Mus musculus: one gene and its partners. Each later gene encodes a partner of the first gene's protein in a complex. Links are inferred from orthologs where the notes say so. Each region holds a gene or a part of one and is shown on either strand. Other genes may lie near its edges.

Region 1 (5,256 bases):
ACTTCAAACCTGGAGTTGAACTCATTTGCAGTGGCCAAGACCTTTAATCCCAGCACTTGGGAGGCAGAGGCAGGCAAGTCTCTCTGAGTTTGAGGCCAGCCTGGTTTATAGAGTTCCGGGACAGCCAGGGGTACACAGAGAAACCATGTCTCAAAAAGCAAAAATAAAATAAAATAAAATAAAATAAAGAAAAGCTGGGGTTGCAGGTATAAACAATTTAGACAGTGGCTTGGGAGAACTCAGAAGCACTCTGTAGACATGACTCCCATATGAGAAAGTTTGCTTATAATATAGTAATAGCACAAAATGGCAGGCTAACCAGGTAACAGTTACCTAGGACTTAACATTCCATCTAGATTTTAATATTTTATCTAGGTCTTTATACATCTGAACCAAAATTTACTTATTTTGAAGAAGAAACTTGTTCTTTATAATCAAAGATTGAACTTACTAGCACTGATATAATGAAGAATATTTAGTTCCCAGCAAGCATTTTGGAGAAAATGTTGAATGAAAAAATTAACTCAAGGCTGGTGTTCTAGCTCAGTGCTGAAGCTGCATCTAGTAAGGTGGGTAGGAGGGGATGGTTGACAATGATAGTCTCCTGGAAACCAGACATCTTAAAGCATTGCCACAGTCCAGCTGCCAGTCTATCAACAAAGAACACGATGAACTAAACTGTGCACGTAGATTTAACTGGCTTAGTCCTTTCAAAAGTTACAACTTTCCACTATTAATTAATGTGACAGTATGTGAGGATTTGCGTGTGTTGAGACAGGTTTTTTCTGTATTGCCCTGGCTGTCCTGGAACTTGATTTGCCTGCCTGAGTGTCGTGTCCTAAGTGCTGGGATTAAAGGCGTGAGCCACTGTCGCCCAGCTGAGCTTATCTTAAAAAAAAAAAAAAGTGATTTCTGTGATGAACGTGGCACTAGTTATTAGTAATCACTTGGAACGAAGCAGATATCGGACTCTCATAAGATAAACCTTTTTTTTTTCTTGTCTTCCTTTCAAAAGCAAGTATGCAGAGGGCCATAGCTCATGGTATGCCAAACATTTTCATTACTTTAGATCAGACTACCAGTTTCCTGACTTAGCCACTTGTGGTACCGAGGACAGCCACTTCTTTGAAGGCTTCATTTCTTTCTCACAAATGAGAACAGGGAGCTCTGATCTGAATGCTGTGAAGTAGTTGTAAAGGCCTGTCCTCCCCACTCTGCTCTTTTCACTCCGCGCCCTAATCCCGACAGCTAAGGAGATAGGAAAAGGAAGTTCTTTAGTAAGGACCAGGGCTCCCCTGCCACGTGGCCCTCCGCGGGCCCTTCTGCCCGCAGAGCAAGCGAGCTCCAGGGCCCGACGGAGGAGACGCCGGGTCGCCGTGCGTGGGGGAGCGGCAGGCGGAAGCTGCGGGCTGCCAAGCCCCGCGGCTCCCGCCCGTCCGGGAGGGGGTAGGGGCGGGGCGTGCACACGGAAATCCATCGAGGAGGGCGGGTGGGACCTGGGGAGTTCGACTTCCGGTGGCGCAAAGCGTGCCGGGATCAGCTTGCGGCAAACCTCCTTCCCCGGCCCGTAGAGAGACCACCGTTAGCGCCGCTCCTGCTCGCACAGCCTGCTCTCGGCCACACGCTTGGCCGCTGCGGCTCCCGCAGTGTTCGGCCCGGTCCACTTGGTTTCCCAGGCAGCCGGCGTGCGCTCAGCTGCGGCTTCGGCAGACATGTTGTGAGGCGGCGGCGCGGGTGCCTGAAGGATGGTTTGGCCGAGGCGGCTGCAACCGCTGCTGGTGGCGGCGTCCTCGGGGGCTCCGGCTCTGTAGAGCTGACCCTGCTCAGTGTCCGCCCGGGACCGCGGCCGGGCGGGTATTCCTCTGTCTTGCGTGCGCTCCCGTGCCGTTTAGGTTCGGTTAGACGACAGCGCCAGTCCGTTTGAGGCGACACGCAGGGTGGTTCTCCAGCCCTGGGAGTGGTGTCCCTAGAACCCTCAGCCCCCTGACCTTTCCTTCATATTCCCACTAAAATCTCTCACACAGTGGGTGTTCCCTGCCCTCCAGCCCTCCTTCCTGGTTTCTGCACTCTCTTCTCTGAGCTTCCCGGACCCCAACATCCCTCTCCAGGGACAGCCTGTTGAGAAATCTTCGTGGAGTGGTGGACCAGAGGCGAGGAGTTTAAAAGTTGGGGCTTGAAAGACAGGAAGATACGATGGCTTCCTCGTCTGGCAACGACGATGATCTCACTATCCCCAGAGCTGCTATAAATAAGATGATCAAAGAGACTCTTCCTAATGTCCGGGTGGCCAACGATGCCCGAGAGCTGGTAGTGAACTGCTGCACGGAATTCATTCACCTTATATCTTCTGAAGCCAACGAGATTTGTAACAAGTCAGAAAAGAAGACAATTTCACCAGAGCATGTTATACAAGGTAAGCGATTTGTGTGGGATTTGGTTTCGATGAAGGATCAGGGGAACAGTCAAGCTAATAGAGTAACCACTTGGCGTCACAGAGCCTTCATTCCACTTCACTAGTAAGCACAGTTAATGAAAAGTCAAAACGGCATAGAGACAGCTTGTACCTTAAGAAAACACCTATGTAGCATTCTTCTGACATTGTTTTCATCCGGCTAGTGCAAATAAGGAGTGCAGACATTAGGGTCAACAGACATCCGCAACCCCTCACTAGTACAGTTTCCAATCAGGTCTTAAAACAACAAGAATTGACTGCCCACAGCTAAACGTGGATAATAACAACTGAGAAAGGAAACTCAAAGTTCTCTCTTGGAAAGTTAAATTTTAGAACTTCGAGCATGAGTTGAGTCAGAGAGTACCTCTCCCTCACCTGTATCGAGGAAAAGATTCATTTTTGAACACAGGGGTAGGAAAAACCCTTGGGCTGGTGACGGAGGTCAGTGGTGTATCATCTAGCAATCTTGCACAAGGGTCCTAGCATTGAGTTAAAAAAAAATATTGACATGAGTGTGTTAAGTGTTGTAAAGTTAATTGCTTTTCAAAAAGGAAGTATATTTTTGCTTTAAAATCGCTAAGAAGGTGGAACAGTCATCACCAGGTAACCAAAGCGAGCACCACATTTTTTTCTTTTTGACTCCCTCCAACTATTGATTGTTCTTTGAAGATTATTTGTAAAAGATGACTGGGGCAGGGCGGGAACGACAGTCCTGGGGCTTGAACGTAGGGCCTGACACACGCTAGTCAGCATTCTGTTGCCGGTCCTTCTCGCCTGCTGGTCCCCTTTGGATGTGTTTATACATTTATCTTTTATTGAAAAGCACATCTAAAAGTTTCGACAGTTTCTTCCTTATGCTGGAAAAGACTAGGAGACTTTGATGGTTACAGGAAAAGGAGACAAAAGTGCTCTTGGCAAATTTTGGGAAGTACTTTCTGTGGTTTTTCATGAACTCTTAGGAGAAGGTTGCATTCAGTTTGAGACAGTCACTTCTGTTTTATAATAATCTATTGGAAATGCGAACAATTTCTTGATTACTTTTATTTAAAGTTAAAAGGAACAAATTTAATCATACTCGGCAGGTAGTTCTCTACCATTGCCTTTTTATAAAGTTAAGTGTTAAATAATTTTACTTTCTTGTTAATGTCAAATAGAGAGCACATGTATTCGTATGGAGCATATCCATTTTACACCGTCAATATTGACAAGAAGATCAATTGATTAATTTTGAGCCTTTATCCTCTGCTGATGGTAGATTAAAAATACATCCTGCTGTGATGAGGGTGTCTCTCAAGGCTGAGTACTTAGCATGGCAGAAGTCAATCCCAGTAGGTAGTGGAGCCATGATGGTGTGTGTGTGTGTATGTATATAAATAGTCATATTATATACACATATACTCTGCCATTTCAGTACATAGTAGATAACTAAGAAAAAAAAGCAATTTTTTTTTTTAGGGTTAGGAAAGGCAAGATGATAATAGGATCCTACTGTGTTGCCTAGCCTGGCCTTAAACTTAAGAGTCTCTTCCTGCAGTATCTTGAATACTGGGATTATGGACATATAACCACCGTTCCCTGTTGCTTATTTGATTCTTTTGTGTGTATGTGCTGAACTTATGTGTGCTAGGTAAGCACTGCACTGCAGAGCTATATTTCCAGCCGACATACTTAATTCTTAAAACTGGTATTTTTAGAGCTGGGCGTGGTGGCGCATGCCTTTAATCCCAGCACTCGGGAGGCAGAGGCAGGTGGATTTCTGAGTTCGAGGCCAGCCTGGCCTACAGAGTGAGTTCCAGGATAGCCAGGGCTATACAGAGTAACTCTGTCTTGAAAAACAAAACAAACAAACAAAAAAAACTGGGTTTTTTTTTTTTTTTTCCTTCTTGTTTGGTTTGCTGAGTGGTAAGAAAAATGGAAGCCAATGTGTTTTTCTTTTTTTGAGTTTTTAAGTCTTTGAGAAGATATTTAACAAATAGCTAGCATTTCCTTTGACTCTTTATGAAGGAATAGAAGAACTGCCTTTGTCAAGCATCAACTTTTTAATGAAAATGGCAGATTTCAGTAGGATCTGCCTAAACATTTGTTTGTAACCACAGAAATGGTGATTGTTCCAAAAATCTAATGACACAATCTGTCTTCCTGGGGGAAAGCTCATTCTTTTCTAGGATATATTTAGAGTTCCAGTTGACATGATTGAAGTGTAGCTGTAGCAAGCCATGTACTAAATAGTTCAACTTTGGAATGTGACTTCAGTTTAATGTATGACTTAGAAAGTTACACTGAAAGGCTATTTTCTTCTGTGTGATGATGGCAATCCACTATTAGAAACTGAACTAGTCTGTTGTCATTCACAAATTTACCCTCATCTTTTAATGTTGCCATTAAGTATATAGGAATATCTATAATTTTGCTCAGATTAGTGTAGATTTTACTGACATCTCATATTATATAATCACCTTAAGTTTTGTTTTGAGAACTTTTCTCTCTTCCCCCATCCCCTTTGGTTGTGTTTGTTTGTTTTTGTTTTTTGGAGACAGGACTGGAACTCACTTTGTAGACCAGAATGGCCTTGAACTCAGAGATCAGCCCATCTCTACTTTCCAAGTGCTAGGATTAAAGGGATATGCCACCACCACTGCCCAGTTAAACAAAAAAGGTTCATGTTTCTTTCCTTTTCTTTTTTTTTTTCTTTTTTTTTTTTTTGTTTTGTTTTTTGAGACAGGGTTTCTCTGTGTAACTCTGGCTATCCTGGAACTCACTCTGTAGACCAGGCTGGCCTCAAACTCAGAAATCCGCCTGTCTCA
Region 2 (4,803 bases), on another chromosome or scaffold:
CTGTTTGGTTTCCATAAAAGATCAAGTGTCTCCAGTTGCCTTTGAAAGCTTCCATACTGACATGAGAATATGATCCAAATATTAAGATTTCTTTCCTATAATTATTTTCTCTAGAAAGGGTGATGCTTTGCTTTGGTTTAAGGTTTGCCTGCTTATTCCCCAAACATAAATCTGCCAAGAGCTCTATAGTTGACTGTGGCAAGAATAATGAACTGTAAAAATAAAAAAACAAGACATGAATTGTCCATGGAACCAAAGAGATCTCAGGTTCCTATGTTAAGCACTCTACTGTATAAATAGTGGATACAGAAACCTACTGCCTAAGACCAGGGGCATCTAAGTCCACATTTGGCAAACATAAAGAAATATGAAATTTTACATAGGCTATACTGACATAGGTAAACTTACACTAAGTTAAGATTTGACGATAAGATTACTAAGATAACTGCATTTATTATTGAATATGAAAGTAATCCATCAGCACATGTCTTGGTTTTTTATTCTTACAGCTCTTTAAATTTGTATTTGAGCTCATGAAACATGCATCTTTACTTTGTAGAAAATATGACATAATTTTTAATAAATTATTATTGCAAAATAAGTACAATTGACTTGTTTCCACTTGAATTGTGTCTAGCAAAGTTTATAGTGATTCCCTTATACTCAGTCAAATGTACAGGTGGAAGCTTCTCCCTCTAAAGTTTTGACTGATTTTGATATTAATTTTATATTCTTGGTAGTGTTCTGGATATACTTTTGTTCTAATAAATCACTACCTGGTGAGAAGTTTCCGTGTTATGAGACATATCTTTCTAGAAAACCCTTAGGAAACACACTGGACATTGACTTTTGGCTTCGTTGTACTGCTTTGGGAAAGTACTTGGTTTTTATCTCAATAATTTCATAACTGATAGTTTAATTTTTATTTGAAGTAGTTACTGTCATCTGTCCCTATGTGTGAATAATCTTAAGTCTTAAATACTTTTTTAATTAGCTAAGTTTGAAAACAATAAAAATAATTGAGAAGACATCAGAGTAATGATATATTTTAGGCATGTGTTTGTGTGATATGTAACAAAGAGAATACACTTTCTGGACTGTCGTAGTTGATCTTCGTCTGTTGAATGCCTAGTTGGGATTCAGTAGGATTCTGACTAGGGCAGATCTATTTTTGGATACCTTCCAGTGGTCTTTAAAATATCAAAGTATCAAAAGAGGTTTATCTTTCATGGATGGCTTTTCAAAGATGGCCCCAGGAACAGAATTAAAATAATAAGACATGTTTTTACTTTTTATTTTCAAAACTGTGCCTTTTGGCTTTTTAAAATGGCAACTGGGTAAAGCATTTTATTATGTCATTGAAACTTAGTAACTTTGAGCAAAATAGGCATGCATTACTCCATAGAAATCTTATTTTTGTGATAATCCCAGATATACAGCTTAATCGTGTAATTTTTGTGATGTTGCTGGTTTGCCTCTTTGAAGCTTAACCTCAGAGATGATGTGGTGAAAATTACAATCGATTGGAACAGGCTCCAGAGCCTCTCAGCATCCCAGCCTGCACTGCTCCTTACTGCACTTGAACAACACGTTTTGTATTTACAGGTAAATTTCATATTAGAAATATTTACTGGATATTGAAAATAGAAATTACCTATAGTTAAATTAACTGGAGTATTTTTCAGTTCTACCTCAACATTCTGTTAACAGTATTATTAATAAAAGGTTATTAAAATCCATATTGAGTCTAGGTCTGTTAATTTCACTAGTGATCGGAATAGTTATGAGAATATAGCCCAATAGGCCAATGTGGGTATGAGATTGAATAAATGCAATTCTATTCAATTCTAGGCTTTGCTGAAAATTCAATACAGTTCATCTATGGTGGGTTATAATTAAGCAATAAGACACGGCAGGTGTGAGTCATGCTATGATAATGATTCCATGCCTTGGGTGAGTTTGGAGGCTCATGGAGTGCTTTCAGTGGTTCAAGAAGTGGCATTATCCCAGCATGATACATCCTGGAGTGTCTATTGCAATTAAACAGTTTCAGCATAGTTTTTAAAAAGAAAGTAATTTCTGTGACATTAATGTTTCATCTTAGTGAGTAGCCAGTCACTATTTCATCTTAATAATTTGAAATAATTTATCCTTTATTGGAAGTCAATATTGAATTATTTATAATGGTATTGTTACATTTTTAATATTTCAGTTTAAGAAATGAACAGTATTATAACCTTGCTGTTGTTGTTTAACATCTCTGCGAGTGTAATTGATGGGAGTTGGAGGTTTTCTCTCATCAGGATAAGCAGAACTGCTTTTTCTGGTCACTTTACCCTGTTGAAGATGTTAGAAGATTTCAGAAGAGTACTTTCTGGGATGTTTAGCTGTGTTTCATGATAAAAATAACAGTTAACACTTTGTTTAAAGGGCAAGTGATGAGCTATAGAACTCAAATGTGGACCATATCCAGGTGGGGATGACAGGAAAGGAAGTGAATTTCCATTATGAAGACATTTTTTTTAACCTACTGTAGTTGGAATGATCTGTTTCCAACGTGTATAGCATGTTTTGTTTTCTTTCTTTCTATCTACCTATCTTCCTTCCTTCCTTCCTTCCTTCCTTCCTTCCTTCCTTTCTCTTTCTTCTCCCCGTGTGCATTTTCTTTTGTGAAATTTCATTTCATGTCCCAATAAGATATCATACTATGACAGAGAAAGGCTGACTATTCACTCAGGGTAACACCTATATACTTCATATCCATGCTCTCTCATTCATTTTGGCCAACTGTACTTTGAAGTGGAGAGTCTCAGCGATACAGTGATAATGCAGGGCTTTGCTGAGTGAGCACTGCCCTCCTGCTAAGGAGGGAGAACACTCAGCCTAGTGTTCTGAATGACATGTTAATTAAGAGGCATCCAGGCCAGAGTCTGAGGCTTTGATTTAGCACAAAATAAAAGATGAATGACAGAATGATTTCCTCAAAGAAAAATTTAAATGTCCTCAGGTTTTCTTTCTTTTCTTCTTTTTTAAAAATAAATGTACAGTAAATGATAAGGGCAATGTACAGTAGTAGAAAACAGCAAACCTGTGTGTGTTAAGATCTGTGTGTCCTTGTATGCCAGCTTTTTATGTTTAATAACTGATAATATTCATTTCTGTAGCAGCAGCTTAGATAAATCTATCACTAGCTGAGATGAGTTTGAACCTGAACAGATGTAACTGTGTTCTTTCCAGCCTTTTTTAGCAAAACTTCAGTCTTTAATGAAAGAAAACTCAACAGCTACAGAGATAAGACAGACAGAAGCAGAGACCAAGAGTGAACTAAGAGCCATACATCCCACCGAGGACCTACAAGATGAAGGGAAGCCCAAAGACTGTGATGTAGGAGATGTGAAAAAGACACAAAACCTTTTTGACCCAGAAGTAGTTCAGATCAAGGCTGGAAAAGCAGAAGTGAGTGTGGACAGGTACACGGGTCAGGGTAACATTACTTTGAAAAGTTCTGTTGTGTTTAGATTGTTAAATTATTTGTTGTTTTAGATTGACAGACGAATATCTGCATTTATTGAGAGAAAACAAGCTGAAATCAATGAAAACAATGTCAGGGAATTTTGCAATGTTATTGATTGTAATCAAGGTAACTACAAGTTTTTTTTTTTAACAGAATTTTAAACATCTTGACAACTGCTATAATATTTTGTTTTAAAAACATATAACATTAAGAACAAGATTCTATTTTGCAGGTGTTTAGTTGATAATTAAGGTAGTAGAATTTTCCTTTATTTAGTAATGGGCTCTGTTGCCAAACTGATTCTCATTTTGGTTACATAAAAAATCCAAGTGAAGGCCGAACTCTAGAGACAGATGTTTACCACAGGTTCAAGAAGATCAGAGTTCCTTTAGAAAGTGAAGGTGAACCAGCGAACCTAGTAGCACTACTTGCACCCCTCACAAGGGAGCAGTTTTCTCCTGACTCCTGAGTTTCATGGTGGATACACCCAGCTTGCCATGAAGTCCTGTGGAGCCTCAGCCCCAGGCCTCTCCCTTTTCACACTGCTGTCTCACCTTTGCCGTTTCGCCTCTGTCTCCCTTTCCTCTTCGTTTGGGGCTACAGTGTTTCCAGGTCTGCAGAGGACCTGCAGAACCCCATAGACTGTGTAGATTGCCACAGATCATAACCAGTTAGCTTTGTAATAACCAGACTGTAAGTAGTTCTTAGAAAAAAATTATGAAAAAAGGTTTGTAATTGGGTTGACCATTTTTTTCTTACTGCCATTAATATCTCTTAGTTAATGATTATAAACATGAAATTGTCCGTTGAACCTGGAAATGACTCATAATCACATTGATATGTGACACTCTTAACATAATAACGTGGGCTTACTGTGGATTCTAAATTAAACTTTTCTGCTTTAGCTTGTGTGGATCCCTAGAATTAGCTCTTTAGAGCAGGTGTAACAGTGGAAAATCTCAGGTGTGGCAATCCAGCTGTACACGCCTCAAGAGAAAGGGTTTGTTGAGGGAGCAAGGACATGTGTCACTAATGTTATTCCTCTGTTCCTCCTGCTAACTCTATTATTATAAACCACCAGGGGATAGAAATTGACAAGAATTGAAATGCTCAGCAGGACTCCTAAGCCCATTCAGTCCTTGCTGGCTCAAAACAGTGCTAGCCAGAATTGCTGTGGAGAGTGACGAGCATTCCCTGTCCCCACACTATGCTGCATGCTCTCTGATGGCTCTGTGCATTTGCAATGTAGCCCTGGAATGGATGGTAGCTTTTTAAAAAAATCCCTTAGA
Region 3 (4,803 bases), on another chromosome or scaffold:
TACTCCTAGCTCTGAGAACAAGAAAAATGTCTATCTACATGTTTATAGCAGCATTCCTAACAGTCAAAAAATAGGAAATAAAAATTCCATTAAGTGATGGACAAAAAAATCCATAAATCTAAGTATTATTCAGATATAAAAAATGGAAAACTGATAAATGTTAGAACATAAATGAATTCTGCAAATGTCATGTAGATGGGTATAACTCCAGCACTCAGGGGGCAGAGGCAATGGCTAGTCTGAGCTACATAGTGAGACTGTGTCAAAACAAACAAAACTCTCACTAAGCAGAAGTAGCCAGACATAAAGGGCCACATGTATTACTACATTTATATAAAATTCTCCAAACAGAAAAATTCACGTGGAAAGACTTGGGCAGTCAAGACGGCTCATGAGTAACAGTCAGAGTTTGATACCATGAGTGTGGAGGGAGAGAGAGAACGAACTCCTGCAAGGAGTCTCTCATCTCCACACCCACACCTACCTAAAAAAAAAAAAAAAGATAGAAAAAGAAGGTGAGTGTTTTGTATAGGACAGGGATGGAAGCAATGGGATTGGAAAGGAGCTGCTGACTGGCATGGAATCTCTTTTGGGGACAAGGAAAATGAGCTGGCCAATGCTATGACTGTCTCACATCTCAAGGGTGTGGCCTTTGTGAAGGTGTCCTGCTCAGCCAGGCTCATTTTCACACTGGCCTTCTGCTTTCCTCACCTGGTGTACAGCACCATTTGCTGAGAAGGCCACTGCAGGGGAGGGAGCAGCTGTGATCACCCCCCCTGCCACTCGAAGCATCGTGGTCCCAGGCTTGGCGAGCTGTGGAGCTGCTGGCACTGACTTCAGGGTGTTGTCTGGTAACTTCAGCAGCGATGCCTGCCCAGCAGTGGCTGCCTGCAGCCATCAAAAGATTGAATGACAACATTGCACAACTTACTCCTTATCTGCATTTGACTGGATTTAAGAAAGTCTTGCCAATGAGGATTGTGTGGCGTGCTATGAACCCTTCCAACAAGTTGAATTCTATAACCTCTGAGGTTCCCTTACACGAAAATGGAACAAATAAATGGATGTATTCCTATTTGTAATTAGTATCTTCAAAGATATCAGGTCCTTTGTTTTCAAAAGAATTGAGTCAAAGTTTTCTTAAATTTCATGGTGTATTTTTGCATTTCATTTTTGAGTGTGTGGTGTGATGTATGTGCAAGTGCACTTGACTGTACATCTATGGAGGCCAAGGAGGACCTCAAGTGTTCTGCTCTATTAGTCTCCGCCTTTTCTCCTGTAGACAAGGTCTCTCAGTGACTGTGGATCTAGACTAGTGGCCAGCTTCAGTGACCCTACAGTGTCTGACCCAGCAGCACTACGGTTATGTGTGCATGGCCACACTAAATGTAAAACAAAAATCTTTAATTACTGTTATTTTGGGTGGGGACAGCTGTGCACATGCTATGATTTGTGAAGTTGGTTCTTTCCACCTTTATGTAGACTACAGGGATTAAACAGGTTGCTATACTAAGTACCTCTACTTATCTACATGAGTGCTGGGAACTTGAACTCAGGTCCTTGCTTAAGTGTTCTTACCCGCACACACCTTTAATCCCAGCACTCGGGAGGCAGAGGCAGGTGGATTTCTGAGTTCGAGGCCAGCCTGGTCTACAAAGTGAGTTCCAGGACAGCCAGGGCTATACCAGGGTTTTTTTGTCTTGAAAAACAAACAAACAAACAAACAAAAAAAAAAAAAAGAAAAAAAAAGGTGTTCTTTCCTATCTCCCTGGAAAGGCTTTAAACACGAGATACTAAAACCACGTAGGGCCAAATTCAGGCAGGTGAGTTAATGGTGCTCTAAGGTAGACTCAGGATCCATCCATCCACCTACCTCCTACACCTACCTAGCGACCGACAGGGATTTTTTTTTTCTCTGTACATGGCCTTGACTGGCTTCAAATTCACAAAGGCCTGCCTGCATCTCTTCATCTGGCCCCCTAACCCCTTACTTGAAGTTTGACAGAAAATACAGCACGCCATCGCATGAAACGGGGACTTATTTTAACTCTGTGGCCTCACTGTGGATCCTGCCCCCCTTACTGTCTTGTCTAAGCGGGGACTGTCTTGGCTAGCTTCAGAGGAAGAGAATGTACCTAGTCCTGCGGTGACTTAAGGTGTCAGGGTGGGCTGGTACTCAGGGGGGGACTTCAACCTTCTTAGAGATGAAGTGGAGGATGGGGTTAGGGGAGAGGCCATCTTGGAGGGGGTACTAGGAGGAGTGAGGGCTGTGATGTAAAGTGGATAAATTATTTAATGGAAAAAAATTACCATGTGTCAAGCATGCAGATGGGTACGCTTACCTGTGTAAACAAAGTGGTTTTCTGTCCAGAGATGACTTTCAGTGTCTGTTGTCCCTGTGCAGATGATGAACTGACTCCCAGTGTTCCTTGAACCACCGATGCAGTAGTCAGTTGTTTTCCAGGTGTTTGGGGTGATGGTTGGCCAACTAAAAATGTACCCTAAGTTGGAGGAAAATAATTCACTAAAATACATTAAACTCTGATGGCCTCCAACTATAGGCTGTAATGTCTCGGCTGCCTTCTACAACTCAAAGAACCAATCACTAGGAGTGCCACTAGGAAGCCCACCCTACTGGTTTAAAACCACAACTGGATTTATTCCTACTTTCTTCAATTGGAACGACTGGACCATGTCTGAATACGGCCGTGGAGGAGGATAAAGACTTCAACAAAAAGAAAAAGAAGAATGAAGCTTGTCCTCAATGAATCCAACCCGAACACCACAACCTGATGCTGCCTCTGCTTTGACCTTTCTAAGAGCAGAGTTTCAATTGTACATTAATTGTTTACTACCTAGTAGATGGGGAGCGGGGATAATTAGCATAGCAGGCTCTTTCTTTGGGGCAGGAAAATAGGGCTCAAATCCAAACTCTACCATTAGCTTAGCAGGAAGGTCTTAGATTAATTATTTAATCTTCCTGAATCTATCTTTTTACTTCTCAAAACCAAACAAGCTCAAAATAATACAGATTTAATGTCTACCATGGTAAAGGGAAATCATAATAATTAAAGGCATTATCAGGAAGTGAAGTAATTTACAAGATCAGGCATTTGCTTCCCAGACCTGGGGGGTTTGCTTGAGGATGTAGGATGTGTAAGTCAGGTGCTGGGGGCCCCCTCCTGGGCCAGAGGTGCTTGGGGTTCCTCCTGCTCCGCTGCCACCGCCACCTCCACTGCCTCCCCCTGCACCACTGCTGCCACTGCCACCAGCAGCAGCCGAGCCAGACTGCAGGTCTGTAAGCAAAATGGGTGACAGGAGCATCACAGGAAGTAGCTCAACAGGAAAAGCAGATGAGCGCAGATGCTTCGCCCACACTACCGTTCCTCCATGTCCTGCTCATCGATGACGAGTGAGGAAAACTCCCCAGAGTTTAAAGACGGAGACTGAATCTGCTTAGACTTTCAGCATGTACAGTCTGGAAATCTTAAATTCAAAGCATTTTGGATACTGAAGTAACATCAAAGTTCTAGATTATGGAGCATTTTAGATTTTTCGGACTATACTTGATAAAGTCTCTATAAAAATTCCAAATTCTAAAAAACTGCAATCAATGCCTGGTCTCAAGCATTCTAGATAACAGGACACTTGACTAGTACTTTTAAAGAGACTGGTAGCTGACTATACCTCCACTCTGAGTACCAATGAAGATTTTTGACAGTACTTTGACTGAAGATGAAAATCTGATGCTAATATTTTCTAGACAACATTTTTAAATCAAATTAACCATCTCTGGCTCCAAGTTCTCAATTCTTTTCAGATCAAAGCCTTCCCCCTTTCCTTCCATGGTAGTGAGCTACGTGGTCTGTAGTAAGCATACATTTAACAAGTTTTGCCACCTTGATTACAGCAAGCACAATCCTTCAACAGCCTCTGACCCTGAGGAAGGTGGAGACCAGAGATGCTGTCTGCTCTCACACAGAATATGGAGGCTGGCCCTTCCTTACAAATCTTTTTGACACTGTGCTATTTAGGTGTGAGGAAAATAGAGTAAGCGGCAACAAGCCATTATAGAAATGTTAAGTGGCTTAACAACGTACTGGGCAAGGGTCAGTCACTTCTCCATCTAAGCATTGCCAGTCCTGATGAGATTGCGCATATCTGAGGTAGTCTGTCAACAGCCAAGGGACGTCATTTCTAACAAGCCTGGCTCCTATACTTCAATTCAGAGGGAAATCTATATTTTCGACATCACCCACACCTGTCAAAGCAAAAGCTTTATGTAACTAAATAAACTACATAGTGTCCTTGGGGCTTTAAGACACATACTTAGACTGAACCTGGAATTCTCATTTCAACTCCAAACCTAGTAATACAACCAAAAACTAGTCACAGAGACTATGCCAGCACATCTGCGTCAGAAGAAAACAACCCTCCAGTAAATGGACCCTTCCCAGAATGCCCCACATAACAGTGTCACTACCTAAGACTATGATAATATTTAAACCCACTGACTACTTAAAATATATATAAATCCACTTGGGCAAATTCTTCCATTACACAATCAAGCAGAATTACAGAAACACTTCCTGGCTCAGGAAAGGATGGCCCTCAGCTGGACAAGACGGACCCACGTAGAGACCCAGGGACTGAACGATGGAATGATGCACTAACTGGCATTGTTGGTAGCTCGCAGGATGGCTCCTTGAGGAATCAGCAGCAGCTTCCCTTTTCCTGAGGGGTTCTTGCTGTTCGTGGTAAGGTACAGTTTAGTGCCCGGAGGCAAGTTCGCCAGGTTGGCCA

The links.
Region 2: Dr1 (region 1) and Mbip share a complex: the UniProt entries of both Homo sapiens proteins name them as parts of the ADA2A-containing complex. The link is inferred for Mus musculus from reciprocal best matches to the Homo sapiens genes DR1 and MBIP.
Region 3: Dr1 (region 1) and Yeats2 share a complex: the UniProt entries of both Homo sapiens proteins name them as parts of the ADA2A-containing complex. The link is inferred for Mus musculus from reciprocal best matches to the Homo sapiens genes DR1 and YEATS2.

Annotation. Positions count from the first base shown.
Region 1 is NC_000071.6:108,267,397-108,272,652, forward strand, and holds the start of Dr1 (protein Dr1), read left to right. Parts: upstream 1-1,500; 5' UTR 1,501-2,193; coding exon 2,194-2,413; intron 2,414-5,256. UniProt on the Homo sapiens protein: The association of the DR1/DRAP1 heterodimer with TBP results in a functional repression of both activated and basal transcription of class II genes.
Region 2 is NC_000078.6:56,339,038-56,343,840, reverse strand, and holds part of Mbip (MAP3K12-binding inhibitory protein 1), read left to right. Parts: intron 1-1,431; exon of another isoform or gene 1,432-1,485; coding exon 1,486-1,605; intron 1,606-3,237; coding exon 3,238-3,456; intron 3,457-3,543; coding exon 3,544-3,640; intron 3,641-4,803. UniProt on the Homo sapiens protein: Inhibits the MAP3K12 activity to induce the activation of the JNK/SAPK pathway. Component of the ATAC complex, a complex with histone acetyltransferase activity on histones H3 and H4.
Region 3 is NC_000082.6:20,206,117-20,210,919, reverse strand, and holds part of Yeats2 (YEATS domain-containing protein 2), read right to left. Parts: coding exon 4,675-4,803; intron 3,297-4,674; coding exon 3,127-3,296; intron 2,502-3,126; coding exon 2,343-2,501; intron 889-2,342; coding exon 712-888; intron 1-711. UniProt on the Homo sapiens protein: Chromatin reader component of the ATAC complex, a complex with histone acetyltransferase activity on histones H3 and H4. YEATS2 specifically recognizes and binds histone H3 crotonylated at 'Lys-27' (H3K27cr).